Linked DNA regions of Mus musculus: regions 1, 3, 4, 5 and 6 are each reported to be linked to region 2. Evidence: microRNA targets listed by miRTarBase, many of them from high-throughput screens and not tested one by one. Region 2 holds a microRNA gene; each other region holds the end of a gene's coding sequence. Distances are from middle to middle.
Evidence for each region. The annotated mature microRNA mmu-miR-466f-3p reads CAUACACACACACAUACACAC and lies in region 2 at 3,347-3,367, shown strand. An mRNA with a match to its seed (bases 2 to 7 or 8) in the 3' UTR can be bound and repressed. Matches are read on the target gene's strand: a 7mer-m8 pairs with bases 2 to 8, a 7mer-A1 pairs with bases 2 to 7 and ends in A, and an 8mer does both.

Region 1 (5,091 bases), not on the chromosome of region 2:
ATTCTCTGGGTCCTTCAGTGTGAGGTGTTTTTCTGTTTTGTTTTGTTTTGTTTTTTTTTGTAGGCTTGGTGTTTTGTAACACGCTCTATCTCTAGTGGCCTCTGGCAAGGAGTATATGGTGTGATTTGCTGTTTAGTGACAGCGGACTCTATCCTGTCTCATCCCTGTGTCAGGGAGCGCTCTGGGTCCCAGGCCTAGGGACTTGTGTACACACTGCATCTCTGCCGTGGCTTGCTCATGGGCACTTTCATAGTTTGGGGGCAGGCTGAGTAAAGCCTGTAAGCTGCCCCCGTGGGAGGCAGCAGGGAGGAGCTCCAAATGTGCTTGCTGTAGGCTCCTCCTGTTCCCAAGAGCCAACGACAGCCTCTAATTTTCTGTGACAGCAGCAACCCACACACCGCCCCATGTTGCCCTATTGTTAGAGCTATTCTTGGGACTGGCTCTGACAGCCCTGACCCCCCCACCCCCCAGCCCTCCACTGCCTCCTACAAGGCAGGATGATGATGCCTACTGGCAGGGAGACCTGGGCATCTCAGTCTTGGGCCTCGCTACTGACCCGGACTTCTGCCCAAGGGTGGCCCAGCAGGTAGGGCAAAAATGTATAGCTTCCCGAGGCCCTTGCATTGCGACTTGGTCTGAGGGCTTACAGTCTGCAGTCAGTCTTGAGCCAGCCTCAGGTCCAGGGTGGGTTGTGGATGCCACTACACTACCCTCTGACCCCTGTCTTGCTCCTGCAGGTGGGCGTTTCTGCTCCTTCTCTCCGTGCATTGAGCAGGTGCAGCGGACATGCCAGGCGCTGGCAGCCCATGGCTTCACAGAGCTTAGCACCCTGGAGGTACTGCCACAGGTCTACAATGTGCGCACTGTCAGTCTGCCCTTGCCCGACCTGGGGGCCAACAACTTAGAGACCAACATGGGCTCTGATGCCAGCCCCTTCCGTAGTGGCACACCCATGAAGGAGACTGTGGGCCACACTGGCTACCTGACTTTTGCCACTAAAACCCCAGGCTAGCAGGCCTCCAAATGAACAGCACAGGCAAGCAGGCAGGGAGGCCAGAGGCTGCCTTATATGGTCAGCCACTGCCCTCGTGGCTTGTGTTTAGAAAGAGATGGGGGCGGGGTGGGGCAGGGGCCTCCTGGGTGGCTGAGGGGGGTGAGTAGGCTGGCCCTGCTCAGCTGGGAGGCATTCCTGTCTTCTGAGAGGGAAGTCTCCACTTCATCACTGCTCAGCGCAAGCTCTGTCCTGGCTCTTTGTTGTCAACATGAGTCTTTCCTCTCCATAGTCCTTCCTGGGTTTTGAGACTAAATGGTAAAAGTTGAGGGCGTCGGAAGCTTTGGGCACTGCCTATAGCCTGGGCTGACCTACGGGAGCGTGGGTTGTCCCATCCCTGGCGCAAGTCTCCAGGCCCTGGTGCTCCAGAGCTTAGCCAGAAGCTGTGGTTGAGCTAAATTAACCAGAAAGCCCAGCCCTGCCCTCCTCTCCCTATACTTCCCTAAGGCTGATGGAGGGACCAGGCTGGCCCAGGAACAAAGGAGGTGATGATAATCAATAATCATGTGCTGCACAGGCCACGTGTGTGTCAGCACGACCGTGTGTGTGTGTGTGTGTGTGTGTGTGTGTGTGTGTGTGTGTGTGTGTGTGTGTGTGTGTGTGTGTGTGTGGAGTTCCTGGTGTGCTGGTGTGCTGTCATCTGGGGTTAGGCATCATCCTGAGGGATAGAACACAGCAGGATTGGTCCCTGCTTCCGTGACCTTCCAGTCCTTGTTGGAGCTGGGGTCAAAGCGGATCATAGAGGAGCCTGTGCATGGGCTAAGAGCCTGGCTGTGGACTTGCCACATGTGTCACCTTGGCCTGGTGTCCATTCTCGGTATGTGGCTAGCTTCAAGGGAGTTTCAGTGCTCGGTGCTCAGATCATCTTGGTGTGAGGCTGCCAGTCAGCTGCTGCTGCTGCGTGGAAGCAGCCATCGCGAGACTCACCAGTGTCCTACTGTCATATGTCATACCCGAGGGCACCCAAAGGATAATAAATATTTTCCCCACTGTGCTTATTGTCTTGTTCCCACAAGGGCTGTCCTTCAGCAGTGGCCCAGGCCCGCTGCTCCACACGTGCCTTCCTGACTTCTGTCCTTTTCTCTCTGCCCTCAGTAGGTACTATGGCGTTTCTGACCTCTAGAACAACACCACAGGACTCTTCACAAAGGCATGTCCTGGGCTCCTTCCCACATTCCTATGAGAACCTAACTTGAGTTCCTGGGGTTGGCTTCCCAGGCTGTCTGTTCTCAGTGTAATGGCAACTGGAGGTCCTAGAGGTCGTGTGCCCTCAGAGCTGTTCCGGCTCCCTAGGACCACCAACCCTGTTCCAGGGCTTACCCTCCCTCCAGGACTTGCTCTCAGCTCTAACATGCCTAGCCTAAAGGACTGAGGTGAGGCCCCACGCATGTGCAACATAGAGTGGGTGCCTTCAGTACCAGGACCTGCAAAGGGTTGTAAGTGGATGATCTGGGCACCCTGCTACCTGGCCTGGCCTGAGCAATCCTGGCTCTCTGTCCTTGGGGAAGGGCTTCTGGCCAACAGGTAAAGGTCAAGGGACAGCATTACTGTGGGACAGAGCTTGCTCAGTTGTGGGACACACGGGCCGTATAGCCAGGAAGGCCCAGGTTATGTCTTCCATATGGGTCTCACTGGCTAGATGTCCTGCAGAAGGGACCCTGGCCAAGTCTGGAAAAAAAACAATCTACTTACTGTCCCTTGGGATAACCAAATTCTAGCTTTCATAGTCTCAGCCTTGGAGAGTCTATCCAACCCTAGTTTACCTCTAAGTCCAACCACAGCTGGAGGGCCACCTGGCCCTGGACTTACCTGCAAGCCTTTGTGTCTCTACAGCTCTGCTCAAATCATCCTCCTTATTCTTTTTTTTTTTTTTTTAATATTCATCTATTCCATGTGAGTACTCAATAGCTGTCTTCAGACACACCAGAAGAGGGCTTCAGATCTTATTACAGATGGTTGTGAGCCACCATATGGTTGCTGGGAATTGAACTCAGGACCTCTGGCAGAGCAGCCAGTGCTCTTAACCGCTGAGCCACCTCTCCAGCCCCATCCTCTTTATTCGTTCACTCCTTCATTAGTTAGTTTTTGAGGTGGGGTATTCTCTGTGTAGTCCTGACTGACCAGGAACTTGATCTATAAAACTGGCTAGCCTTAAAAAAAAAAAAAAGCTAGCCGAGCAGTGATGGCCCACGCCTTTAATCCCAGCACTAGGGAGGCAGAAGCAGGTGGATTTCTGAGTTCGAGGCCAGCCTGGTCTACAGAGTGAGTTCCAGGACAGCCAGGGCTACACAGAGAAACCCTGTTTCGAAAAACCAAAACTCTGGCTAGCCTTGAACTCAGATCTGCTGTCTGCCTGGCTAAACCATCTCCTCTTGACTGCTTTCCCAGACTGCTGCCCACTCTCAGACAGGAGCCTTCAGCTCAGCCATCCTCTGTACCCTGCACTGATCTGCTGAGGGTTAGTTACCTCAGCAGGAGCCCCCAGGGCAAAGGAGAGGCTAGGTCCCCAGGTCCTTCAGACTGAGCCTGGCTCCTAAAGTAGCCCTGAAGCCATGGTTGTTGAGTTCAGTTAACTGATCCTGGGTGCACCTGACTCAGAGGCTCGGGACTCATCATGGGGCAAGATCCTGGAAACTCCCCTTCCAGCCTGACTCCTGTCACTGGCCCTCAGTTTTCCCTTAGATATTTTCCTGGGTCACAACCTGCATTGTGACCAGGACAGCAGCACACCTCTCAGCCTCCTTGGCAAGAGTCTGCTCTGCAGCGCCAAGCCCCGGGAAGCCCTGAATGCACCTCTAGGTGCAGACCCTGGTTCACCTGCTGGAAGGCTCCTGGGCCAGGGTGATCAGCTTCCTCAGACAGACTTCCTCCGAGCCGCCTGTGAGCTGTGCCCAGGCCTCAAAATATGCTGCCCTGTGTTTGAGGGTTTTCCAGCAAGGGCATTGGGATCTAGTATTGTGTCTCTGGGTGAAGAATGGGTAGTACAAGGGTGGCTAGGGACACCTCTGCCTCTTACATTGTCTAGGTCTCTTGGAACTTGACCTTGAAGCTGTGTCCTCTTCTCCCCTCCTGACCATTGCACAGTTGCCTCTTTCTGCCTCAGCCTAGCCTTCATCCTGGGACAGGCAGGCTGCCAGGGACTCCAGCAACAGGGAGAAAGAAGTGCTTCCGGCCCACTGCTGGAAATGCCACCCAGGTGGAGAAAGAAGACTCACTTAGCTTTTACACCGGAAGCCACAGGGGTGGGCTGGTGAACGTCCTGTGGACTTACGGCCAGCCTAGGATGCTCTTGCTAGGTCAGTTGAATAAGACTCCTTAGGGAGGGTAGGGGCCTCCTTCAGACCTGAGCGCATGAGGCCATAGGAATGTCTGGGAAATGTTAGTGCCCAGTGCTCCCAGCTCTCACCTCCATTGGTGAGGAGCCTTACTTCCACTGCTAGCCTGGTTTGAACCAGACACACAGTGTGAGAGACATGAACAGCAGAGAAAAGCAGGGGATTAAACTCTTATATAGGTCCCAAGGAAGGGACCTCAGGTTTATAGACTTGACCTTCTGGGTAGCAGAGCTTGGGTGGTAACTCGCCCGTAGGAGTGTAGGGGTGGGATGAGCCCAGTCTCTGGATATGCCACTCAGGTTGGTGGTGAGTCACCTCCCTGTGGGGATGAGACAGTGACAGCCTCGTGGCCTACTGAGAGTGTGTCATGTCAGTGGTTGGGACAGTCAGCTTACAGAATGCCACTGTGACTACTGCCACCTTCTCCCAGAAGCCGTCCTTTGGGGTGGGAGGGAGTGGCTGACAAGATGGCTCAGTAGGTAAAGGCAGGCTCTTGCCACCAAACTTGACCAGACTTGAGTCTCTGGAACCCACATGGTGGACAGAGAGAACTCCATCTGACTTACACACGTGCACCATGGGACATGAGCACATCCCTGCCCCTCCATGTGTGTGTGCGCGTGCGTGTGTGCATACATGAGTGAAAGCCAGAGAGTGCCTGAGTCATCTCCCAGGACTGGGATTCTACACACATGTCACCGTTCC
Region 2 (5,085 bases):
CACCCATGTATGTGAATGTGTGTTTACGTGTGTGTGCATGTGCATGTGTGTATATGAATATATGTATACATACACACACACATACACACTCATGTAACACACACACACACACACACACGAATGGCACTCATTTATCCATTTGAATGATATGTGACGTAGAACTATAGAGATTATGTAGTACTGGGCCAGTGAGTGCTCTCACTTTCTAGTTGAAAATGCTTGCCAGAATCAGGAGAATCAGGAGTTCAAATTCATGCTTACATTCATGAGGATTTAGAGATCAAACTGTGAATCATGTTTTGCCCCCCATGTTTGTGCATGTGCGTATAGTTGTGTGTGCATGTATATGTGTGTATATGAATATACATATACATACACACCCATATATACACGCATTCATATGAACACATCAACACACACGCAGGAATGGTATTCATCGATTTATTTTATTGATATGTGATTTAGAGCTTTAGAAATTATGTAGTACTGGGCCAATGAAACTTTTTACTCACCAGATATAAACGATTGGTATAGTCAGAAAGATCTGGAGTTCAAATTCATGCTTAACTTCATAATGAGTTAGAGATCAGCCTGGTATTCCTGGGATGTACCCCGTGTATGTGCATGGGTGTATAGTTTTGTGTGCATTTGCCTGTTTGTATATGAATATACATATCCATACATACAATCATATACAGGCACACAAAGACACACAGACATGAATGGCACTCAGTGATTCATTTGAATGATATGTCACCTCAAGTTTTGGAGGTTATGCAGTACTTGGCCTGAGAGGGGTCTCAGTCAGCAGGTGATAATGTTTACCAGAGTCAGTAGGCCCAGGGCCTGGCAAACGCAGAAGTGGATGCTCACAGTCAGCTATTGGATGGATCACAGAGCCCACATTGGAGGAGCTAGAGAAAGTACCCAAGGAGCTGAGGGGATCTGCAACCCTATAGGTGGAACAACAATATGAACTAACCAGTACGCCCCGGAGCTTGTATCTCTAGCTGCATATGTATCAGAAGATGGCCTAGTCGGCCATCAGTGGAAAGAGAGGCCCATTGGTCGTGCAAACTTTATATGCCTCAGTACAGGGGAACGCCAGGTCCAAGAAGTGGGAGTGGGTGGGTAGGGGAGTTGGGGGGGGAAGGGTATGGGGGACTTTTGGGATAACACTGGAAATGTAAATGAAGAAAATACCTAATAATAAAAGAGTTCAATTTTATCCTTAACTTCACGATGAGTTAGAGAGGAGCCTGAGATTTTTGTGATGATCCCGTGATGTATGTGTGTATATTAATATACATATACATAAACTCATACATACACATACATGTGACACCCACATATGAATGGCACTCATCGATCCATTGGAATTATTTGTGACTTAGAGCTTTAGAGATTATGTAGTACTTGGCCACTGAAAGTTTTGATTCACCAGGTAAAAACCCTTGCCAGAGTCATCAGTATCTGGAGTTCAAATTCATGTTTAACTTCATGAAGAATTTGGGATCAGCCTGGATTCATGTGATGTCTCCCCTTGAATGTGCATATGTGTATACATAAGTGTGTTCATGTGTATATGTGTATATGAATATACATATACATACACACAAACATACATGCATGCATGGACACACACACACATGAATGGCACTCATTGATCCATTTGTATGATATATAATTTAGAGCTTTAAATATTATGTAGTACTGGGTCAGTAATAGTCTCACTCATAAGGTAAAAACACTTGCCAGAGTCAGGTGAAGAGAGAGTTCAAATACAAAATTTACTTCATGAAGAGATAGAAATCAGACTGGGATGTTTCTTATGTATGTGCATGTGTGCATATATGTATGTGTGCATGTTAATATATGCATATAAATATACACATATAAACTAACCAACACAACATGCACACACACAGAGACACACACAAATACACACACACACACACAAACTCAAAATTGATACTCATCTATCCATTTGAATGATATGTAACTTAATGTTTTAGAGCTATGTATAAATGGGTCAAGGAGAAGTCTCACTCACTAGGTGAAACACTTGCCAGAGTCAGGAGGATCAGGAGTTCAAATTCATGCTTAATTTCACAACGATTTAGAGATCAGTATGCAATTGATGTGATGCACACCAAGAATGTGCATGTGTTAGAGTTGTGTGCATATTCACTTCTCTATATGAATATGCATATACACACATGCACACACAGTAATGCCACTCATATATCCTTTGAAATGATATGTGCCATAGAGCTTTAGCGCTTATGCGGTAGTGATCCAGAGCTATGTCTCAGTTAGGAGGTGAAACGCTTGCCAGAGTCTGGAGGATCTGGAGTTCAAATTCATGTTTAACTTCATGATGAGTTAGAGTTCATCATGCGATTCATGTGATGCCCAACAAGAATGTGCATGTGTGTATAGCTGTGTGCATATTCACTTCTCTATATGAATATGCACATACACGCAAGCACACACAGGAATGGCACTCATATATCCTTTTGAATGGTATGTGACTTAGAACTTTAGAGCTTATGCAGTACTGATCAAGAGCTATGTCTCAGTTAGGAGGTTAAGTACTCTTGCCAGAGTCAGGAGGATGAGGAGTTCAAATTCATATTAAATTCATGATGAGGTAGCAATCAGTCTGGGATTCATGTGATGTCCCCCGTTTATGTGCATGTGTGCAGAAGTGTATGCATGTACATGTGTTTATGTGAATATACATATACATACACACATATACACACACATGCAAACATACATGTAGGAATGGTACTCATCGATGCATTTTAATGATATGTGACTTAGACCTTTGGAGATTATGTATGACAGGGCCAGTGTCAATTCTCACACACCTGGTGAAAACCCTTGTTAGAGTCAGGAGGTATAGGAGTTGAAAATCATGCTTAACTTCATGAGGAGTAAGAGATCATCCTGGATTCATGTGATGCCCCCTATATATGTGCATGTGTGTATACTTGTGTGTGCATGTATATGTGTCTATATGAATATACATATACATACACACCCATATACACACGCATGCACGGAAACACAAAAACATAAACATAAACACAGGAATGGCACTCATTGATCCATTTGAATGATATGTGACTTAGAGTCTTATAGATTATGCAGTAGTGTGTCAATGAACGGTCTCACTCACCAGGTGAAAGTTGTTGACAGAGTCAGGAGGATCAGGAGTTCATATTCATGCTCAATTTCAGTTAGTGATCATCCAGACATTCATGTTATGCCCCTCATGTATGTGCATGTGTGTTTACGTGTGTGTGCATGTGCATGTGTGTATATGAATATATGTATACATACACACACACATACACACGCACGCAACACACACACACACACACACACACGACACTCATTTATTCATTTGAATGATATGTGACTTAGAGTTTTAGAGATTATGTAGTACTGGGCCAGTGAGTGCTCTCACTCACAAGGTGGAAATCTTGCCAGAGTCAGGAGGATCAGGAGTCGAAATTCATTCTCAACTTCATGTTGAGTCCGGGATCAGCTTCTGATTCATGTGATGCCCCCAGTGTATGTGCCTGTGTGTATATGTATGTGTGCATGTGCATGTGTGTATATGAGTATACATATACATACGCACATACCCATACAAGCATGCACACAAACCCAAAACTGCCACTCATCGATCTATTTGAATGATATGTGTCTTAGAGTCTTAGAGATTCTGTATGACTGGGCCAGGGAGAGGATTCACTCACCAAGTAAAGACCCTTGCCAGAGTCAAGATAATCAGGAGTTCAAGGTCATGGTAAAGGCATGATGAGTTAGAGGTCATCCTGGCATTCATGTGATTGCCCCTATGTATGTGTGTATGTGTTGATGTGTGTGTACATGTACATGTGTGAATATGATATACATACATGCACACATAAGACACATATGAGCACATAGACACACAGGAATGGCACTCACTCATCAATCTATGTGACTGAGAGCTTTGGAGATTATGTGTGACTAGGTCAGGGAGAGTTATCACCCATCATATTAAAAATGCTTGTTAGAATCAGGAGGTCAGGAGGTCAAATTCATGCTTTATTTCATGATGACTTAGAAATCTGCCTGGGATTCATGTGATGCCCCCATGTATGTGTACATGCGTGTACCTGTGTGTGGATTGTGTATATGAATATACATATCTACACACGCATAGACATGTACACAGACACACAAACATGAATGCAACTCATCGATCCATTTGAATGACGTGTGACTAAGAGTTTTAAGATTCTGCAGTACTGAATAGGGAGAGGTCTCACTCAGCAGGTGAAATCCCTTGCCAGAGTCAGGTGGTCCTGGAGTACAAATTCATGTTTAACTTCATGATGAGTTAGAGTTCAGCATGCGACTCATGTGATGTCCATCAAGAATGTGCATGTGTGTATAGTTGTGTGCATATTCACTTCTCTATATGAATATGCATATACACGCATGCACGCACAGGAATGCCACTCATATATCCTTTTGAATGGTATGTGACTTAGAGCTTTAGAGCTTATGCAGTACTGGGCCAGAGCTATGGCTCAGTTAGGAGGTGAGTACTCTTGCCAGAGTCAGGAGGATGAGGAGTTCAAAATCATATTTAATTCATGATGAGTAGAGATCAGCATGCGATTCATGTGATGCCCTCCAAGAATGTGCATGTGTGTATAGCTGTGTGCATATTCACTTCTCTACATGAATATGCACATAGCTGTATGCACACATACTCACAGGAATGGCCAGAACTATGTCTCAGTTAGGAGGTGAATATTGTTGCCAGAGGGAGGAGAATATGGAGTTCAAATTCATGTTTAACTTCATGATGAGTTAGAGAACAGCCTGGAATTTCTGTGATTGTCCCCGTGTATGTGTATATGTGTATAGGTACGTGTGCATGTAAATGTGGGTATATGAACATGCATATATATATATATATATATATGTGTATATATATATATATATATACATACATACATACACATATACACACACATATGGACACATACATGTGCACACAAACACACATGGTAG
Region 3 (5,000 bases), not on the chromosome of region 2:
AATCTTTGAGATAGCCATATTTTGAGATGACTGGAGAGCTGTTTGGTACAAGCTTACACAAAAATCAAATTTAAACTAAGACTAGGAGAGCAATTTTGTGGGGCTGGATGAGAAAGGCACATGAGATAACAGGAGTCAGGGAAAGCCAAGAAATACACACTTCATCCAATACACAAAGGGAATGGAGAGCTGGCTGCTGTTGAAGAGTCTGGGAGACAAGGGTGCTGATGGGACACTTTGTAAAGATATATGGTTGCATCTGAAAGATGACTCTTAAAAAGAGACTAGATCTCCTGTGGGTACCACTCACAGATCCCTATCAATTACTGTAGTAGACCTGAGCCTACTTAACCATAATCATTATCTTGCGGGACGGGATACGGAATTCCTGCTGCAGGTTTGGTTTGGTTTTAACAGGATATAAGCTCAAACTGGCTTTTAGCCTACCAAGGGTGTGAATCTTTCAATCTGCCAGAAGCTGAGATTACAGGTGTGCCAGTAGTGGGTTTGCATGTGCATTAACCCTAAAGGCTCATGCTTGCTTAGTCCCCACTTGATTGGAAAATACTTCTAGCACCATGCTTGCCTGTGTGCAGTAGTTAACTCTGGGTAAAATGGATTAGCCTTCAAATTGTAAACAATTGTTAGTAGATGCTACTGAGTTTCTCTGGTTGTGGTATCTTAAGTAGAGCCAATATGGCCAGGTTAGTTTCCCCGTTTGTCTGATACAGGAAAGTGCCCAGGGCAGAAAAGCCAATCTAGAGTCCCCAGGTACCAGTGCTGGCCTCAAAATCAACCCCACAGCACTTCCTCCAACAAGGTCACATCTTCTAATAGAGCCACTTCCCATGGGCCAAGCATATTCAAAACACCACATATGGTTTCATAGATGTGAAAGAACAACATGGCCAAAGTAACTCTTATAAAGGTAGACATGTAGTGGGAGCTGGCTTATAATTTCAGACAGTCAGTCTATTATCAACATGAAGGGAAGCGTGGCTGAGTCTAGGCAGATGTGGTGCTGGAGAAGCTGAGAGACCTACATCTTGACCCAAAGGCAGCCAAGAGGAGACGCCCCTCTGAAGGCAGCCAGGAGGGGACTAGCATTCACAAACTGGATGGAATCTGAGCATAGGAACCCTCAAAGCCTACACCCACTTCCTCCAACAAAGCCACATCTACACCTACAAGGCCACACTTTCTAATAGTTCTATTCCCTATGGACAAACAGTAAAACACATGAATTTATATGGGGACCAAACCTATTTAATCCACCACAAAAACCTAGCCATGAATACATATATGTTATAATGCATAACTTTCAAAGTAGTGGGGTAGGGTGGAAGGAATAGGAAGAAGAAAAAGAGGTAATTTTCCCAAATGGAAAGAAAAATATTTTAGTAGACAAAATAATTGCCTTAAATGTCTCAGTTGGGACATGTGAAGAGTGAATGGGTCTTGGTTTAATTCTATCATTACATCATAATGAAAATACTTGTGCAAGTATCCTTCCATACATTTGTAACCATAGCCATTGGGAGGCCAGACTGGGCTCTAGAGTGATTGTAGAACTACCTTAGAAATCAACTCCTCATCTCAAAATAACAAAGCAAACAAAATAAGATGAATAAATCTATTTTAATAGTTTTTCTGATATAAAGAGAACAGGCTTATTTTTAACAATGAAAATATATATGCTAAAAGTTACCAATATATGTACTCCCAATATTTCCATCCAAAGAACAATGGAGGGAAAAGTTACTTTCAACCCATTACCATCCTTTTAGCATGTAAAGTTCTCCAAGTTCTCCCACCTACACATATAGTTCAAAGACAGTTGTTCTTTGATAATTACATCAGAATAGAATTTTTAAAATGCACAATTCAAGCCGGGCATGGTGGCGCACGCCTTTAATCCCAGCACTTGGGAGGCAGAGGCAGGTGAATTTCTGAGTTCAAGGCCAGCCTGGTCTACAGAGTGAGTTCCAGGACAGCCAGGGATACACAGAAAAACCCTGTCTCAAAAAACCAAAAAAAAATTAAAAATTAAAAAAAATGCACAATTCATAATGTCCATAAAACTGTTGTGCATGATATGGCAGCACTTTTGTAGCAATACAAAGAGTTGAAAATACTGTCATTACAAATGCTTCCTGTCTCTCTCATGTTGACAAAGATATGAGTCCAGTTCCATTAAATAATTGAGTCAATATCATAAATGTAAGACATATCACCCATCTGGTTAATTAAACATGGAAAGTATAAATGTGAAAGTAAGAATATAAAAATATAAGAATAAGAATAAGAATAATAATAAGAATATGAAGAAAGGCACATTCAAACACAATTGGAGAAAATGTAAACTGACAGCTTGACTGATCTATTAATAATAAAAATGCGAAGATATGGGCACAGGGGAACAGCAATGGCTTGTGCTGTAAGATCGAGAATTGACAAATGGGACCTAATGAAACTCCAAAGTTTCTGCAAGGCAAAAGACACCGTCAATAAGACAAAAAGACCACCAACAGATTGGGAAAGGATCTTTACCTATCCTAAATCAGATAGGGGACTAATATCCAACATATATAAAGAACTCAAGAAGGTGGACTTCAGAAAATCAAATAACCCCATTAATAAATGGGGCTCAGAACTGAACAAAGAATTCTCACCTGAGGAATACTGAATGGCAGAGAAGCACCTGAAAAAATGTTCAACATCCTTAATCATCAGGGAAATGCAAATCAAAACAACCCTGAGATTCCACCTCACACCAGTCAGAATGGCTAAGATCAAAAATTCAGGTGACAGCAGATGCTGGCGAGGATGTGGAGAAAGAGGAACACTCCTCCATTGTTGGTGGGATTGCAGGCTTGTACAACCACTCTGGAAATCAGTCTGGCGGTTCCTCAGAAAATTGGACATAGTACTACCAGAGGATCCAGCAATACCTCTCCTGGGCATATATCCAGAAGATGCCCCAACTGGTAAGAAGGACACATGCTCCACTATGTGCATAGCAGCCTTATTTATAATAGCCAGAAGCTGAAAAGAACCCAGATGCCCCTCAACAGAGGAATGGATACAGAAAATGTGGTAAATCTACACAATGGAGTACTACTCAGCTATTAAAAAGAATGAATTTATGAAATTCCTAGCCAAATGGATGGACCTGGAGGGCATCATCCTGAGTGAGGTAACATATTCACAAAGGAACTCACACAATATGTACTCACTGATAAGTGGATATTAGCCCAAAACCTAGGATACCCAAGATATAAGATACAATTTCCTAAACACATGAAACTCAAGAAAAATTAAGACTGAAGTGTGGACACTATGCCCCTCCTTAGAAGTGGGAACAAAACAACCTTGGAAGGAGTTACAAAGACAAAGTTTGGAGCTGAGATGAAAGGATGGACCATGTAGAGACTGCCATATCCAGGGATCCACCCCATAATCAGCATCCAAACGCTGACACCATTGCATACACTAGCAAGATTTTATCGAAAGGACCCAGATGTAGCTGTCTCTTGTGAGACTATGCCGGGGCCTAGCAAACGCAGAAGTGGATGCTCACAGTCAGCTAATGGATGGATCACAGGGCTCCCAATGGAGGAGCTAGAGAAAGTACCCAAGGAGCTAAAGGGATCTGCAACCCTATAGGTGGAACAACATTATGAACTAACGAGTACCCGGAGCTCTTGACTCTAGCTGCATATGTATCAAAAGATGGCCTAGTTGGCCATCACTGGAAAGAGAGGCCCATTGGACACGCAAACTTTATATGCCCCAGTACAGGGGAACGCCAGGGCCAAAAAGGGGGAGTGGGTGGGTAGGGGAGTGGGGATGGGTGGGTATGGGGGACTTTTGGTATAGCATTGGAAATGTAAATGAGCTAAATACCTAATAAAAATGGGAAAAAAATAATAATAAAAATGCATTCCAACTGACAGGACCATTACACTCAAAGAAATTATCTCACAGGTGCACTCAAATAATGCAGAGATTCACCACAACAAATATTCTACATGGTTTTGTTTAATACCACACACAACACAAAATCCAAGGGCCATGATTAATTAAATTACAATGTAATCATACAGGAGAATTCTATGTAGCCATTAAAAAGAATGAGGTAGATTTACTTATGCTGATATAAAAATATCTCCAATGCTCACTTTATAAGCTTTTATAAATCCAAAACTCCAGTGTGTTTTTTACAAGGAGATGTCCTGAAAAGCAAATGTGTGCATATATACACATTTGTAAATAAACATGTAATTGGACACACATACCATAGTCATGTATACATAGGAATTTTTTTGTAAGAACTCACATGAAATTCTTTAGTGATGATTGTTCCTCCTGCAGTTATTTCTTGAGGAAACTCAGTTTTCATCATACTTTATTGCACAACTTGATATTTCACCATAACCATGTGCTTTCTTTGTAATAATTAAATCAGTTCTTCCTAAAATTAACAGGTAGCAGCAGAGATTCCAAACTTCCAATGATAGAATTTAAATGCAATTTCATTAGAACATTTGTGCTTTTTAATAGCTTTGGAAGAGCTAATTTCCAAGTAGTCCTTCCATTGTCGAATTTTAAAGAAAGCAAAGCAGTAATTATGATGTCTCTTGACTTCTTTTTTCTTGGTTCTAGATTCCAATGGCCGACAAAGTAAGGCAGTCTGTGCCATTGACTTCGCCTTGTGATACTGGAAATGCCTCCACCTTAGTCACAGTATCATAGAGTGGATTGCTCTTCTCTGTATAGCTAGCATAAGGCTGCATTTCATCCTTGAAGAAAGCTCAAAGTTAAAATCCATTCAAAAGAGCTAGACATCATTACCAAAATTACCCAAGTTTCTACCACATTTAGCATCTACTAATAATGTTTAAAACTGTTTATCTGCCTCAGAAGATCAAGGCTTTGTTCTAATAATCTATCACAAACATTTGATGGTTATTTATATTTTGTGTGAAATGGTTGTTGGG
Region 4 (5,091 bases), not on the chromosome of region 2:
ATACAGTGACTGATCCAAGAGGTTTTATTTAATATGTTCTCAAGTTTTACCCATGCTATAGTTTTTACCCATGCTATATATATATACCTCATTTCTAGTATAGATCACATTTTGTTTGGGTATTTTGAGTGTGTAGCTATTATTTGCACAATGAACATCCATGCTTAAGTTTTAATGAGAACACATTTTCCCAGTCTTTGGGAAATACAGTTAGCTGACTGTAAACTGGTTATATAAAAAAATCCCATTTATTCTAAATTGGTACATTAAGTGGTACTCCATAGGTCTTCAAGTGTGCTAGGTTTTTAATTTTTTAAATGTATATATAATATATGAATGTGTGCAAGTGACTGTGTGCATTTAGAGATCAGAGGAGGGCGTCAAATCCCTTGGAGCTAATTATTGGTCTTTTGCAGGATACCCAGACTTCATGGGTGCTGGAATTTGAACTCTGGTCTTCGGAATCCCACAGCAAGTGGTCGTAACCTCTGCGCAAAGCTGCTCGTTCTTTTATTTCCCACTCTTCGAACAGCATCATCTTAGTTGACATTAAGATCCCTTTTCAACTTTTTAACTTGGTAATTGCACTTCCTAACTTCAGACTTTGGTTCTTTATAATTTTGTTTCTTGACGTAGGTTAACCTCATTTTCAATTCTACTACATCTGTCTTGACACTACAATACAGTCATGTGCATCATACCACTTCTAATTCCTCTTCCTCCCCTTTTGGTCAGGCAGTATACTTTCTTGTCTCTTTTAAACAGTGCCCTGCAGATTGGAAAATATTTAATTTAGCTTACTCGGAGTCTTTGTTGAAATAAGTTCAACATTTGTTCTTCCTCAGTTTCTATTTATTGCTGGTCCCTTGTACACTGGGTCACATTTTGTATATATTTGTTGAAAATTAGACACATTAAATAATGAAGTGTTTATAAAATCAGTACCCTATGCCTGTCTACAGCTAGTGATAGTTTCTGAATTACTTTTGTGAAGTTCAGTTCTTTCCATGTGTAATGCCGTTTGCAGTCTACATAGCTTCACACTGCCCTAATTTGACAAATTCCCTTAAACAGACATGCTCTCATCACTTACACCCCTGGTGAATGATGAGGCTCCTTCAACTAGGTCCTGAGCAGTGATAGTCAGTCTGTACTCGTGCATTATCTGACTTCTAGAAAAGGTCAGAAATTTCCAAAGCCCCAGTGAGCAGACAGCATCTTCTTCAGCTTTCCCTCTAAGCTTTGTGATTAGTGTACTTCCTACCTTAGCAGCTCTCTGCTGCTTATGGCGGCCATGATGTCAAACTGCCCGTGTTTCTCAAAAGGCAGCTTAAGGGAAAATGCTATCAAGCTAAGCAAGCTTGGACTGACACCAAATAAAGGCAGCCTTGCCAAGTGGGCGGCTTCCACTGAACTAACCACACATTTCAGACAATCAATGTTCCCTACAGATGTTGCAAACGTATTTCCAACAGTTGCTAGGCTGGTCTTCATTGTGGTAATAGCCTGATAGCTTTCAAGGCTACCATAGATCTAGAGTAGGGGATGGGGAAATTAAAGCCGACAACCCTCACTGTTTCATCAGTAATCTGTAGTTTCTGACACACACACACACACACACACACACACACACACACACACACACACACACACACACACACACTCTCTCTCTCTCTCTCTCTCTCTCTCTCTCTCTCTCTCTCTCCTTGGATTACTGCAAGCCTGATTAACTCCTGAGTTCAGAGAAAGTTGGTTCCAGGAGCTTAGACACTTTCTTCTTTCAGTTTTGAGACTCCATGTCTGAAGATTAAAGAAAAAGAAGCAACCAAGCTCTAACTAGCTGACTGGTTCAGAGGCGTCAGCTAACCCTGAGAGCACTCTTAGGCAGATAATACAGAATACAGGTATGTCTTCCTACTAAAGTTTGAGGTAAGATAGAACGTCAATAGAACGTGTGATGCTAAATATCAGGGAGGAAGGATTTAGAAAGACTTGCAGAGCCCCTTTAAGGATTTGCTGCAAAGTCAATCCTTAAATATATCAAGACAGAGACAAAAATCACCAGGTAGCAGGTGGGACAGTGTAGGCACTCACAGGCCCAGGCAGTTTGTGATCCTATATAACAGGAAGACTTGCTAGGACAATACTATAGTAAGAGAATCAAAAGGCACAAACCCAGGACTTTTCAACCTTTGAGTTGTATTTTAGTCTGATAAAACATAATCTTTATTGCTAGAGAGTTAGTATGTCTAGACTATATCCGATTGCTGTGGTGCCTTTCATGAATCTGAACCTCTCCAGACATTAAGGGCAAAGTTACCAGAAACTCAAATGCCCTACCAGCTGTTCTATCTGGAGGCACAGCAGCAAGTTCATTGCCATTGTAAAGTCTCCGTGTAATAAACTATAGCAGTAGATGTAAAAGTCTGCCTCCAACTTTTAGGTGGACTCCTGGCCCAAGGAACTCTCTTAGGCAAACTTACAAAACTGTAGAGAGCATTCCAACTTGCTTAGGTGTACACACACACACACACACACACACACACACACTCTCTTCTTTACTTTTTTTTGGGGGGGTTGGGGGGTTTACAGGGAATTGCTTGGAATGAAGATTCAAGAAAACTCCACATCTCCGCCATAAACTGAACCCACTGTTCTAGTTACTGACATTCCTAAGTTTGTAAAACAGAACGTACACTTGCTAACTAGGCGCTTGAAGGCAGAGTGGAAGGCGTTACCTTGTTCTAAGAGAATATATATGCAGGCCACATAGAATTCAGTTAGCACTGTTTAATTAACTAACCATCTTTCTTGTCTTCCACAGCAATAAAAGGCAAACAGGCAAGGATCTTTTACAAACCTCTCTCTTTTCCTTTAAGGTCACTGTACTGTATGAAACAGGCGAGGATCTTTTACAAACCTCTTTCTTTTCCTTTGAACACAAGTCACTGCACTGTATGAAACAGGCAAGCATCTTTTACAAACCTCTTTTCCTTTACTGTATGGAGTACATGGTTCTTTAGGAGTCCAAGAACTCCTATTTAGCCACTTCAATCCCTCCTCTTCTACATTTCAACACAAGTTAAAATGCCTGCATCTTGGTACTGTGAGAGTAAAAACCCAGCCCTGTTTGAGCCACACAGCAAGGTCCTCAGTGGTAGAGCATGTATAAGACCTAGAATGCATGAGGCCCTAGGTTCAATTCCCAGTGTTGTACTCCAATATTTGCCTAAGTGACTAGACACCATGCATAACTTTTCTGTACCATGAACACTATATCCTGGACTTGGTCCATGGACAGAAAAACTAGGGCTCTATTGATCCATTCTTCAATGAATGGAAATACTCATTGCAGGGGTACTTAGAACTTAACTTTTAGGTGTTGCTACACATAAGCAAGTTGCTCAAACACTGCAAAGATAAGTCACAAGTAACTGCAACTATCACAAATTAATATTTATTTATATACTATTTCTATATCCACAATGAAAATTGCCATTTCTGTTTTGCTTATAAAAATATTTTTTAGTCCTAATTTCTTTCTTTTCTCACTATTATTTTAAATATGTCCTAACATTTTTTATATGACATTTATTATATGTGAACATATTTGTATGTACATAGGCATGTGCCACAGTGTATGTGCAATCAGAGAACGACTTTGTGAATTAGTTCTGCCCTCATACCAAGGGAATCACAGGGGTCAAACTCAGGCCATCGGGCCCCAGGAAGTGAGCCATCTCCTAAGCCCTGTTTGCCTTATTTTGAAGGCAAAAGGGAAAGCTTAACTAGCGAAATATATTTTGTAATCATGAATGAGAAAACCTAAAATTCCGTAATATCTAAATTACTTTATGTAAGAAATAATTTGGGGCAAGCATTCTTATGAAATAAATTTAGAGATCTGTGAAAAGATTATGTAAATATTCCCTAAATTCACATAAAAAAAGAAAAACAAGCAATATATTTTATAACTCTTTGAAAGAGACTTATTTAAAATGCAAGTTTAAATAACATGTTAGTTAAAAACAAAACCAAAAATTTTGACAGAACGCTTGCAAAGAGGCAGCAAGTATCAAATCAATCATCAAATGTAATTTTTTTCCCCTGAAACACAGCGATTTTGGACTGCTGCTCCTTCCGCCTCCTGCTCGCTTCCCAGGACGGATGCAGAGGTGCCTGCATCGTCTGCTTCACACTCTCAAAGCCTCTGTATGCACTCTTTGTAAACTGCTTCTTGACTGGGGGTTCATTTTCTGGAAAATCTGGGAAGAGAAAGCAAAAACGACAAGTAACTATACCAGAGCAGAAAGAAAGCTTTCATTTCTTTACACTACGCATTCAAGGAAATCGTATTTTACTTAGACACAGTATCTCACCAATTAAAGCTGCATCCCAATAGAAGACAGCTTCGAATTAAGAACTTACACAAGTAGTTAATTTGCTAATTATTGTATGCAGGCTCTTGCCAATATGGGGAGACAAAACAAGCTACAGAAAACCAATAAAAACTGATACTGGTAGTGATACAACACCCCATTTCTACTTGTGTGGGTACACACATCAGGAATAATACTATTAGGAAATGACAATTTTTGTCCTCTCACTGCGACAAAGCAATGTCTGCTTGCAGGCTGAGCAGTCTGTACACACCTGGGGCTTTATTCTTTGGGGCCTGTTCTCTGGGATCCCTAAAAGAAAACAGAACAACATTAGGACCTAAGAGACAAAACAAATCCTCTGATGATGGAGTGGGAGATAAAACTCACCCACATGATGCATCATCCACTTGCTCGCTCTAATATCCAATTATTAATCCAGGACTCAGCTAATCAGATATTTAAATCCATTGAGCCCACCTCCCTTTCCTTCCACCCACACAGAGACCTCTGGTCAGTGAGAAGTAATCCACTTTGGCTAGCTTGCCCTTGCTCTAGCAGACTGTCTATATAAAGAACTCAAACGTTTTCAAGGGGACAATGATTACATATAATATGAAAATTAAAGTCTTTGTTTTTGGTGTAGAGCCAAGAAAAACCTAGAAACTTTTCGGGCATGACCGGGTCAGATAGGTAAATATTTTAATTTCAC
Region 5 (5,091 bases), not on the chromosome of region 2:
GTTTATTTATATACTTATTATTTTTTGGTTTTTCGAGACAGGGTTTCTCTCTGTAGCCCTGGCTGTCCTGGAACTCACTCTGTAGACCAGGCTGGCCTCAAACTCAGAAATCTGCCTGCCTCTGCCTCCCCGGTGCTGGGATTAAAGGCGTGTGCCACCACAGTCCGACTTGGTAACAGTAATATTAAAAGTTTGGTGTTTTGAGATCTTTAAATTTCTAATGTTTGTGACGTTTGTGTCAGAGAGAGAGCGAGAGCATGACATGGCACAGACAACTTTTAAGAGTTCAAGACTGGGTTCTCTCCTTCTACATCCGCTTGGGTATGCTTGGGAATTGAACTCAGGTGACAGTCTGGTGACAGGTACCTTTACTCTCTGAACTTCCTCCCCCCACTACCCTGTCCTGTTTTAAATCTTTTTCTTTTTGGTTTTTTTTTTTTTTTTTTTTTTTTTTTTGGGTTTTTCGAGACAGGGTTTCTCTGTGTAGCCCTGGCTGTCCTGGCACTCACTTTGTAGACCAGGCTGGCCTCGAACTCAGAAATCTGCCTGCCTCTGCCTCCCGAGTGCTGGGATTAAAGGCGTGCGCCACCACGCCTGGCTTAAATCTTTTTCTTAAAAAGATTTATTATTACATGTAAGTATATTGAAGCTTTAGACACATCAGAAGAGGGCATCAGGGTCAAGACAGGGCTTCTCTGTATAGCCCTGGTTGTCCTGGAACTCACTTTGTAGACCAGGCTAGGCTGGCCTTGAACTCAGAAATCCCCCTGCCTCTGCCTCCCAAGTGCTGGGATTAAAGGCATGCGCCACCACGCCCGGCTTTCCATTTTGAATCTTAACTGTGCTCAGGAAATAGCAAAACTACACATTACTGTCATTAAGAACTATGATTTTTGAGCCAGGCATGGTGGCATATGCCTGTGATCACTTGAGAAATAGGGAGGAGGTGAGGAGTTCGAGGCCACTCTCAGCTTGCTATTGAATTAGGGACCAGCCTGGGCTACGTGAGACCTTGTCTCAAAGCACCACCTCTCCTTAAAACAAAATGCATTCCACAGTTCCCGCTGTAAGACAAAGTACAAGGGAAACAGGTCAACTGTGTTATCTTTTCAGAGCTTCGTTGTAGCTTCTTACTTCCTGGGCAGGGACGGGTGGGGCCGCATCTTTCCAGCACTTCAGCCAGCAAAGGCAATGAATAAAACGCATTTTGAAGGGCAAACCCTGTCTACCAGCTCTCCCCTGCCACTCAATCTAACCATAATTACCTGGCTTCGGGTGACACGCTCTAAAGTCTGTGTTACAACCCCGATCCCTGACACTTGTGTGACAGGGGCTGGCAGGACAGCAACTTCCAGGCCAGGTTGTGGAGGTCATAGAATCTTTAAATATTGACACTGGGAAGGCCTTTGAGCTAAGCCCAGGACTCTGAAAGACCTGAGGGAAGCTCCAGGAGTTGCTACCTGTGATGGTTTATATATGCTTATCCCAGGGAGTGGCACTATTAGAAGGTGTGTCCCTGTTGGAGTAGGTGTCAGGGTGTGGGCTTTAAGACCCTCATTCTACCTGCCTGGAAGTCAGAGTTCTGCTAGCAGCCTTCAGATGACGATACAGAACTCTCAGCTCCTGCCTGCCTGGATGCTGCCATGTTCCTGCTTTGATGATAATGGACTGAACCTCTGAATCTGTCAGCCAGCCCCAATCAAATGTTATCATTTATAAGACTTGCGGTGGTCATGGTGTCTGTTCACAGCAGTAAAATCCTAATTAAAACACCATCTGTCACAAGTTTTGCTCTCCCCGGGATGAAAGCTATCGCAGTGGCCGGTGTTGAGACTTGGAAGCATGGTTTACAAGCAGTGAGACAAAGTGGGTGAGAGTGGAGACTACCACATCAGGATCTGGCCAAGGGACCAGGGTCCTGCTCACCAGGGTGAGCAGAGATCACCTCACAGAACTGCATGGTCAACCAGAGGAGAGGTGTCTGATGGCTTGACCCAGGCTGTAACCCAAGGCCAGTTTCTGGCAGGGAAGCAAGTGTCCCAAACCCTCAGAACTCTTCTATAAATAACATGATGTCTTGGGGGAAGCCTCATCTTTCACTGTGTAGACCTAGGCCCCGCACCACCTAAAGAGCGCTCTCCTCACCCGGAGGCCAGAGGCTACACTGTGTACCTTGAGCTCTGAAGGCTTGATATACCACAGGACAGGTCCTAATGGCCCCAGCCACAGCTGCCTGAGGCTGATGGCTTCTTTGTGATGTACAGTCCCTGGTAAGTCAGCGATGAGAAACCCCAAGAGCAAAGAGGCAGACAGAGGGTATCTATATCACTTTGTCCTTTTCTACTTTATTACTTCAAATTAACAACCACAATAAAGCTCAAAAAAGTCCAATATTTACACAGGAAAAAAGTACAAAATTCCCCCCAAAGTTCTTCAGTAATTTTTTTTTCAGTTTTTTAAATTACAAAGTAATAAAAAGTTTTGCTCTTTAATTAAAAAAAAGAAAGAAAGGGGAAAAAAAGAGGTAAATAAATTAGGAAATACACACACTGAGAAAACAAACAAAAATAATAATAATAATAATAATAAAAAAACCAACAAAACAGGTGTTAACCAGGAAGGGTAAATTCAACACTTAGCCCTGACCCAGGGTCCTACTCAGAAGTCAGGCCTGGGAAGAGGGGTGACCACAGGTGACTCTCAGGACCAGGGAAGTAACCGGTATCTCAGAGCCGATGCCATCTGGGAGCAGACTCCAAGAACTTGCCTAAGATCAGGAATGGAAGTTGGGGGGGGAGGGGTGCCACACACTGGCATCTGGGGACAGGTGGTGGCAAGGACTCTATGCCCTGAGGGATGTGGAAGTCATTGTCCACCCCACCTTGACTTTAGGAGGAGGGGAACAGAAACTTGGCCAGGCAGGCGTGGCAGGCCACCTGCAGCTCTGAAAAATACAAGTCAGCAGTCTCTCAGTCAGTCTCTCAGTCAGTCTCTCAGTCTCTCTCTCTCTCTCAGTCTCTCTCTCTCTCTCTCTCTCTCTCTCTCTCTCTCTCTCATGCATACACACACACACTCACAGTCACACAAGGCATCATGGCCTCCATCTCACCGCACCCTCAGGGTCTCTGTAGAGAGGTGACAGGTGTGTGTGGGGGAGACCAGGATGCTCAGGGAAGGGGATTCTGGGAAAGCCCCATACAACACTGGTCACTGTCATCACCCAAGGGCTGATGGCGTGTGTGTCATCCAAGGCTCCATGAAATCTCTTGGGACTTGTCTCTGACTGGCCAAACCGCTCCCTGACACAAGCTCTTCAGGCACCTCCGATGGCGGCCCGGCACGTGGTGGCCGGTGGCGAGAACAGGTGGCTGGCATGTGACCCAGTGTCCTTAGAGGAGTGTTGGCAGCCTTCAGGTCGGGAGCAGTGGGCAAGGCAAGGGAACAAGAATCCTCAGTGCTAACGAGGTCTTGTCTTTTTGCCATTGGCAAAATAAATCAAAGAAACAAAATCCATTGTCGACTTTGTGCTGGGTTGTGGGTTTTGTGGTTTGTTTGTTTTTCTCTTTTTTGTTCATGTGAACTGTTCTTTCTTTCTGTCCTTTCTCTTATTTGTATTTAATTTTTTTTTTTTTAAAGAAAATGCAGTGAAGACACTAGGAGGGAAGAAAAGACAACGGTCAGGTGCCTGGCTGCCTCGGTTTACCCAGCCAATGCGCTCCTCTGCTCTGGTGGGCTGAGCGGCCATCCCAGCCCCATGTCTATCTGAACTGATTAGCCATTTGTTGGGAGAATTTCTGCAGTGTGAAGTCTGCTTAAGAAACCACGGTGTGAAGCTGCACGTCTCAATGGGTGGGACACTGCCTGCTAATATCCATGTTCTGCAGGGAGCTTGGGTCCCCAGCCAATACTACCAGAAGAGCCTGTGGCCCCTTTCCCAAACCAGGCTTCTAGGTACTGCCCCCCAAGCCACAGACAGCCGCAGGCAGTCCACCCCGAACTAGCTTTGGCCAGAGGGTCTTTCCTGTGTATAAACACATGAAGGCCCTTCTACACTCTGGTTCCTTTTTGGCTCTGCACATATCATCTTATATAACAGCCAAAAGGAGGAGGTAGGCTAAAGCCCTGGAAACCCACATGTGGCCAGGAGCCTGGTCTTTCCTAGGAATCAAGGGGACAGAAGACCCAAGGACAGAAAAAGGGTTTCCCCGAAGTGTCCCTGTGTACCGATTCAGGACTGCTTGTGAGAAGTGATAGCTTGGATGGCAGATTTTAAAATCTAAAGCTTCCTTGAAGAGATTAGAAGGGGAGGTTCCTGCTTCTGCGTCACGTTCCCCTGCCCTCCAGGGCCCTCAGTAGACACCAGTACTCACCTAAGCAAACACTGGTCTGTGGTCGCTCTCCTCATTTCCCAAGATGGTCAAATGGCACGCTTGTCTTCAAGAGGGGGACAGAGAAATATGGGGGAGTCTCAAGGCAGGTCCTTAAGCAGGTGGCCACAATGATTCCCCAAGTCTCATACACCCCCCCCCCCAATGGAGCTCCATCCCTCACAGCAGGCTGCTCAGTCTGAGGGCAGCTGTGTGATCTCAGGTCTGAGGCTGCCCCTGGCTCTAGAGCCGAAACACCCCCGCTTGGAGGCCAAGGCTGGCTCAATTCCAGGTCTGAGTCCAAGGAAGTTCGTCTCCCACAGGCAGGATCGGGTAGATCTACCTTTGCCAAGCCCCTTCCTCTACATTCTGAGTCCGAATATGGCCATTAAGTGGGATGACCTGACAAGACCTCTCCCTCCTCCCGCTTCATCCCTTGCTGTTGTCAGTGCTGATGGGAACTGCCGAGAGTCGCCCACCCAGACCGCAGTGAGTGCTAGCGCTTACTGGGCTGTTATTTCTTTGAGCCTCAGTTTCTCCCTTCGCTTTGCTCAACACAAGAGGGCTAATTAGCTTCAGGGTGATCAGAGGCAGGGGAGGAAAGGTGCCACAGGGTCAGACCAACACACCAAGAATATCTAGGTCCACTGTGCCCCCGAGAGGCCTGGAAGAGTTGACTCACCTGTGAGGCTGCAAGCCGGGAGACCTCTTGCCGCCCAGTGAG
Region 6 (5,091 bases), 160 Mb from region 2:
TGCCACACTGGGACAGTAGTGAGGTGCAACCTCCACATGCCGGGGCACTCGAATGGTCCCGAGGAGGCAGCAGACTGAACCCACAGAGGAGGAGGATGTCAGGTCAAACAGAGTAAGGTCACTTCAGATAGTGCTGGGGAACAAATCAGGGCACCATTTTGTTAGAACCTGAAAGAATGAGCTATTGACAGTGGCTAGGGATGTAGAATGAACTAGAATAGCAAGTCCCACCCTGGCCTCTGACCCCTGACCCCCGACCCCAGGACTGCTCTAATATGTGTCACACTTTGAGCACACTTTATCTGGGAGCACCTCTCAGAGTTGGGTTTGAGCACTCCCATTTTAAAATCAAATCATAATGTGTCTAGGATTTCACAAACCCAGGAAGCAACGTCGCTAGGTATTAAAGCTAGACATCCGCCCATGAGCACTGTCATATTTACGTAGAATAAGCACGTGATAAGTCCCCCTCGCTGCTGTTGGCCTCACGCTGGCTGCTTTATGTTTTTCTCCAGGGACCAAAGCGGATGTCGGATGCTCAGGTGCAAACGGACCCGGTCTCCATCGGACCAGTTGGAAAATCCAAGTAAACAAAATCACCCAGTTCCCACTGGGTTCTCCTCCCACTCCATCTACTGTCCAGACCCACACTGTGTATATATTTTTCTTCTTCTTCTTCTGGTCAGCCAATGAAATTCTGCCTACAACTTCAACCTGAATTGTTGTAGATCGAGGTGTATTATTTACGTCTCTGGTCCAGTCTTTCCTGGCATTTAAGTGTAAAAATGGCTTAGCAGGTTGACCAGTTGATCCAAGGGAGCTGGTGAGTGCCAGGTGGGGGAGGAAGTAGGTAGATAAAGGCATTTGTGTTAAGTTATGAAAAAATGGCAGGTATCCAGTAAGATGCAGAAGAAAAGTGCTTATGAGACAAAGAATATCTGGATTTGTAGCCACTCTTGCCACATCCTCTAAGCCTGAAGAGGGGAAGGGAAGACTGGTTTATTTCATTTCACACTTGGGGGAAGGAGGACTCAGGGCAGGCATCTACGCTGGGCGTCTGCCAACTTTTGGAACAGGATGTGTGGGCTGTAAAGAAGAATGGGCAAGAATTGGTTTTCAAATAGGGTCCTTGGAAGTTATCAGTGAATGGGGAAGTGATTTGCTGGAGAGGGCTTGCTAGGATTTGGGGAAACAATTACTTCTGGGGCACAGGGACAAGGGCATGAATTCCCAACTTCAAAAGGGAAACAGCAAAATGAAATAAAGGTGCAGGTTCATTTTGCAACACAAGGGGGCGCCAGGATCTCTGCTTTTTCCCTTTGCATCCGGTACCCCTAACAAAGATTTGTTTCTGCACTATTTCATTATTAATGTTTCTCAGATGGCTGAGGGACTTGCTTCATCTGTTCGGTCTGACGCTTATCTCACGCCTGTCTGTAATGTCCTAATGTTTTCATAATGTGCTCTGATAAAAACCCTCCCCTAACCCAGTTAATAAAAATTGACAGATTATGCGAATACTTGAGGTGGTTTTTTTTTTTTAATTCTTGTACAGAGAACTGAATTGGACTGTGAATCCATTAAGATGGAATTGCCAAGTACCATATGATTGACTGATAGTCATCTGTATTGTACCTTTCTTTTCCCAATTTAATAAAAAAATATTACATTTTAGAAAAGCTTTTGATTCTAAACTTCAAGTGCAGCTCGCTGACAACGCTCTCTACAAGGGCTGCGTCTTTGTAAGCAGCTGGAAGACAGTGTACACTATGAATGCCCACACACGTGTCCAGATATACTCTCACACACGACTCTGTGTTCGTGAACATTCATACTGCAAACTCATATAGGCAGGAATACATTGGTGTGCACATATGATCAGTTCACAGCCTCTGCCCTAGCAAACCAGGTTTGACCTCCAGTCTTTCATAAGCCAATTAAAAGAGCCAAATTAATATTAAAAAACAGATTCTTCCATGTGGCCACACTGGGAAGAGGGAGAAAGATTCAAGAGTCTCTCCTGCCTCCCACAGGCTGCCTTCAAGGTCCTTCAAGTCGAAAACAGGACTGCATAGCCAAGCAGTTCAGCCCAGGGGCGGTTCCCTGCTCACCTCTACCTCAGCTCCAAGTCTCTCCTAGGAGCAGTGATGCTCTCTCCAGTAAACTCCTCCTCCAGCCCTCTCCTCCCTCCCTCTCCATCCCCCACCCCCACCCCAGGGCTTCAGCCTTTTCCTTCTCCTCCTGGGGTCTCCTGGGGAAATTTTAACTTTCTGAGATTGGTTGTTTCCATAGTCTATAGTCAAAGAGGATCGCGGGTGTCCCTTTAGAATATATTCATTCTTGCCAGACTAGCAAATTTGCACACACACACACACACACACACACTGGCAGGTTTTACACACACATGCACGCTCATGCACACACACACACACACACACACACACACACACGCACGCAGAACATGAGACTGTCTCACAGGGGTCAGAAATAAACATTGCCATCTATCTTGTCCTAGCGTGAATGAGAGCACAGGAACCACACCTAGGACAGAACAGACTGGAAAACTGGTAAATGTATCCAGAGAGCAGCCATGTCTGTGAGGCCCCCAGATATGGAGGAAGTAAGGCAGTGTGGCCTGGGGCCTGGGGCCTGCCAGCACACTGACTGGATTCTGGGTTTCAAATACAGATCAGCAGTGGTTTCCTTTAAGCTAAACTTGTTTCCTGGATCCTCAGGACCTGATTTGGAAATCACTGTCTGTTCCTTGCCGGGTTCAGAGTCCCGTACCATGCTAGAAGGTTTTGCTGGAAAGATTGGGGTAGGGTGCTAAAAGCACCTTGGGAAAACTGGAAGAGGGGGAGAAGTGGCCACACTACCCAGTCCTTCTGAGTTGACACCAATGAGACCAGCCAGCTGTCAGTTCCTTTGTCTGCAGATCCCTGGGGGTGACGCCTGCTGTGACCTTTTGCCAGCCTCTGGGCTAGCTCAGCCTGTAGAGGAAGTTGGCCAGTTTCACCTTACAGGGCACCGGCGCCTCAGGCTGAGATGAGAGACATTAACAGGCAGGATTGGGAGGCGCAGAAGCAGTGGGGAGTGACTGACTCTGGCCACCAGGCAATAGCAACCTCCAGTTTCTAAATTGGGATGGGAGAGGGGTTGTCTGAGAGAAGCTCAGCAAAGCCCCTCCCGGGTGTTTATTCCTGGTCCCTCCCTTCTCCTAGGCTGAAGAAGAGGGCACTCTTAATGAAATTGTGGTTTGCTTTTGTTTTTATGAAGGCCAGGAAATTTAAGCCACAAACTCAGTGATTTATTGCTGGGACCGTAAACCCAGCTGTAGTTTAAGAAGCAAGTTTTGTGCTTCCTGTGAAGGTTGCGTTTTCCGTTGCAATCCTTTCTCTGATGCAGAGTTCACTAACTGCCCCAGCAAGGCACTCCCTAAATCGCACAGAAAGTTCACAGGACAAAGAGGGGGCAAGAAACTGAGAGCTCGGCCCACAGAGCCCAACCAAGCTCTGGCAGGTGGAGTGAGGAGTGAGAAGCAAACCTGACAGGCACCGAAACAACCCAGAATCCTAGCCCCAAAGAAAAACCAAGTAAAGACGTGCGTGCGGGAGGAGAGGGACAAAGGTGCCCGTTGTCACCATGAGTCGGTTAATGATTCGCTGATTTGTTTGTAGGTGCTCAGGGAAGTGTCTCCTCTCTCTTGCCAAGAAGACGTGCCTTTCCCAAGGATGGAGCTAGTGAGATGAGATGCCCGGCATTGTGCGTGCAAGTTACACACACACACATGCAAGTGCACACACACACACACACACACACACACACACACACACACGTGCATGCATGTTCTCAGTGATGCCTCCCAGTTCCTGCTGACAGAAATTGTTTGCCTAATATCCATAAAAGAGTTCACTCAAAGGAGCAGTTGTTCCCAGCAGCCCGAGGCCACTCTTGGATTCATCCTGGGGAGGGGGGCGGGGGGGGGGGAAGGAGCCACAAACCTAAAGAGCTGCCAAAAAATAGGAGGGGAAAAAGAAAGCCAGAGAGAGACTGTTTTGTTTGTAGCTCATTAAACACAGGTCTCTCTCTCTCTCTCTCTCTCTCTCTCTCTGTTTCTCTCTGTTTCTGTTTCTCCCTCCCTCCCCCTCTTCTCTCTCTCTCTCTCTCTCTCTCTCTCTCAATCCCTACCCCCCAAGCACCATGCAAACAGTCAAACAATCCAGATATAGTCCAGACACACACACACACCCAGAGCAGTGGGGGTCTCATTAGATTTTAAAAGTCCAGAACGTACCCCTCTGGCTCCCCCCAAAGTCCCAGAAGAAGGCTAGGTGTCCACATCCAGGACTTGCAGGTGTGGTCTCTTCTGTCCCAGAGCCCCAGCCAGGTCCTGGAGCAATAAACTGGAGCTTAGGGTGTAGCTCAGAGCTACAGTACTGGCCCAGCACAAACGGGGCCTTGTGTTCCATTTCCAGCGGTACAAGGGTGGAGGGGCAGCAGCGTGGTAATGAACACAAATGGAAGAGAAAATCCTTCCCTGTCCTGCTTGTGAGGAAGGAGAGGGAAAGGGCAGCAGTTACCCACTTTCCCACGGTGCAAACCCCAAGATTAGGGCTGGGTTGCTGACGGGGCTCAGCTTCAACCACTCTCGGCGTTCTCTTTAGAGCCCTTAAGTAAGCAGTTTGGCACAGTGTGCAGAGTCGGGTTTGTCCCTGGTCAGGACTGTGTTTACTCTGTGGATTGTGGAGCAGCGTGGGCCCCTGAAAGACTGCCTGTTAGCAACAAGGGGGGAAAGGACAGCAAGCAACGTCCAGACATTGATTCTTCAGTCTGTAGTGGAGGCAGAGACACTGGGCCAGGGGTCGATTCTCCAGAGGTTAGACTGTTTTTTTGTTTTTTTTTTTGGCTTCTGTGTAGCCACCCATAAAGCTACCTCCCGCTCCTCTGCACCCTGGGGCCTCTCACTTGCCAGGCGGAAGCCAACCACATGATTTAACAGAAACCAGGATACAGGTCACGCTGCCTGACAGGATCGCACACACAGCCTTCTTGATGCGTTTATCTAAGTTTCAGCTGTGTGCCCTCTCCCCT

Region 1: the mRNA of Trmt61a is a reported target of mmu-miR-466f-3p. The part of its 3' UTR that is shown has no 7-base or 8-base seed match.
Region 3: miRTarBase lists Cd200r1 as a target of mmu-miR-466f-3p. Seed matches in the 3' UTR shown: 8mer at 4,258-4,265.
Region 4: miRTarBase lists Srfbp1 as a target of mmu-miR-466f-3p. The part of its 3' UTR that is shown has no 7-base or 8-base seed match.
Region 5: miRTarBase lists Csnk1e as a target of mmu-miR-466f-3p. Seed matches in the 3' UTR shown: 7mer-m8 at 3,060-3,066 and 7mer-m8 at 2,541-2,547.
Region 6: miRTarBase lists Bcas1 as a target of mmu-miR-466f-3p. Seed matches in the 3' UTR shown: 8mer at 652-659.

What each region holds. Positions count from the first base shown.
Region 1 is chr12:111,681,858-111,686,948 of GRCm38, forward strand. It overlaps Trmt61a (tRNA methyltransferase 61A), which reads left to right. Exons shown (of 4, transcript NM_001099793.1): 4 at 738-2,045. The coding sequence ends at 1,012. Among named protein-coding and RNA genes, the nearest start is that of Trmt61a, 6.3 kb to the left of the region's middle.
Region 2 is chr2:10,468,661-10,473,745 of GRCm38, forward strand. Mir466f-3 (microRNA 466f-3) reads left to right here and starts at 3,293; the gene lies at 3,293-3,386. The region is part of intron 10 of Sfmbt2 (Scm-like with four mbt domains 2); the gene reads left to right. It overlaps Mir466f-2 (microRNA 466f-2), which reads left to right and starts at 15; the gene lies at 15-108. It overlaps Mir669l (microRNA 669l), which reads left to right and starts at 311; the gene lies at 311-408. It also overlaps Mir669d-2, Mir297a-2 and Mir466o.
Region 3 is chr16:44,794,002-44,799,001 of GRCm38, reverse strand. Cd200r1 (CD200 receptor 1) reads right to left here. Exons shown (of 7, transcript NM_021325.3): 7 at 4,025-4,802. The coding sequence ends at 4,662. Among named protein-coding and RNA genes, the nearest start is that of Cd200r4, 24 kb to the left of the region's middle.
Region 4 is chr18:52,489,618-52,494,708 of GRCm38, reverse strand. It overlaps Srfbp1 (serum response factor binding protein 1), which reads right to left. Exons shown (of 8, transcript NM_026040.4): 7 at 4,654-4,691; 8 at 2,776-4,265. The coding sequence ends at 4,081. Among named protein-coding and RNA genes, the nearest start is that of Srfbp1, 26 kb to the right of the region's middle.
Region 5 is chr15:79,415,535-79,420,625 of GRCm38, forward strand. Csnk1e (casein kinase 1, epsilon) reads right to left here. Exons shown (of 11, transcript NM_013767.6): 9 at 5,050-5,091; 10 at 4,371-4,434; 11 at 2,318-3,653. The coding sequence ends at 4,402. Among named protein-coding and RNA genes, the nearest start is that of Gm16059, 8.4 kb to the right of the region's middle.
Region 6 is chr2:170,343,573-170,348,663 of GRCm38, reverse strand. It overlaps Bcas1 (breast carcinoma amplified sequence 1), which reads left to right. Exons shown (of 13, transcript NM_029815.2): 13 at 516-1,673. The coding sequence ends at 590. Among named protein-coding and RNA genes, the nearest start is that of Gm39999, 8.5 kb to the right of the region's middle.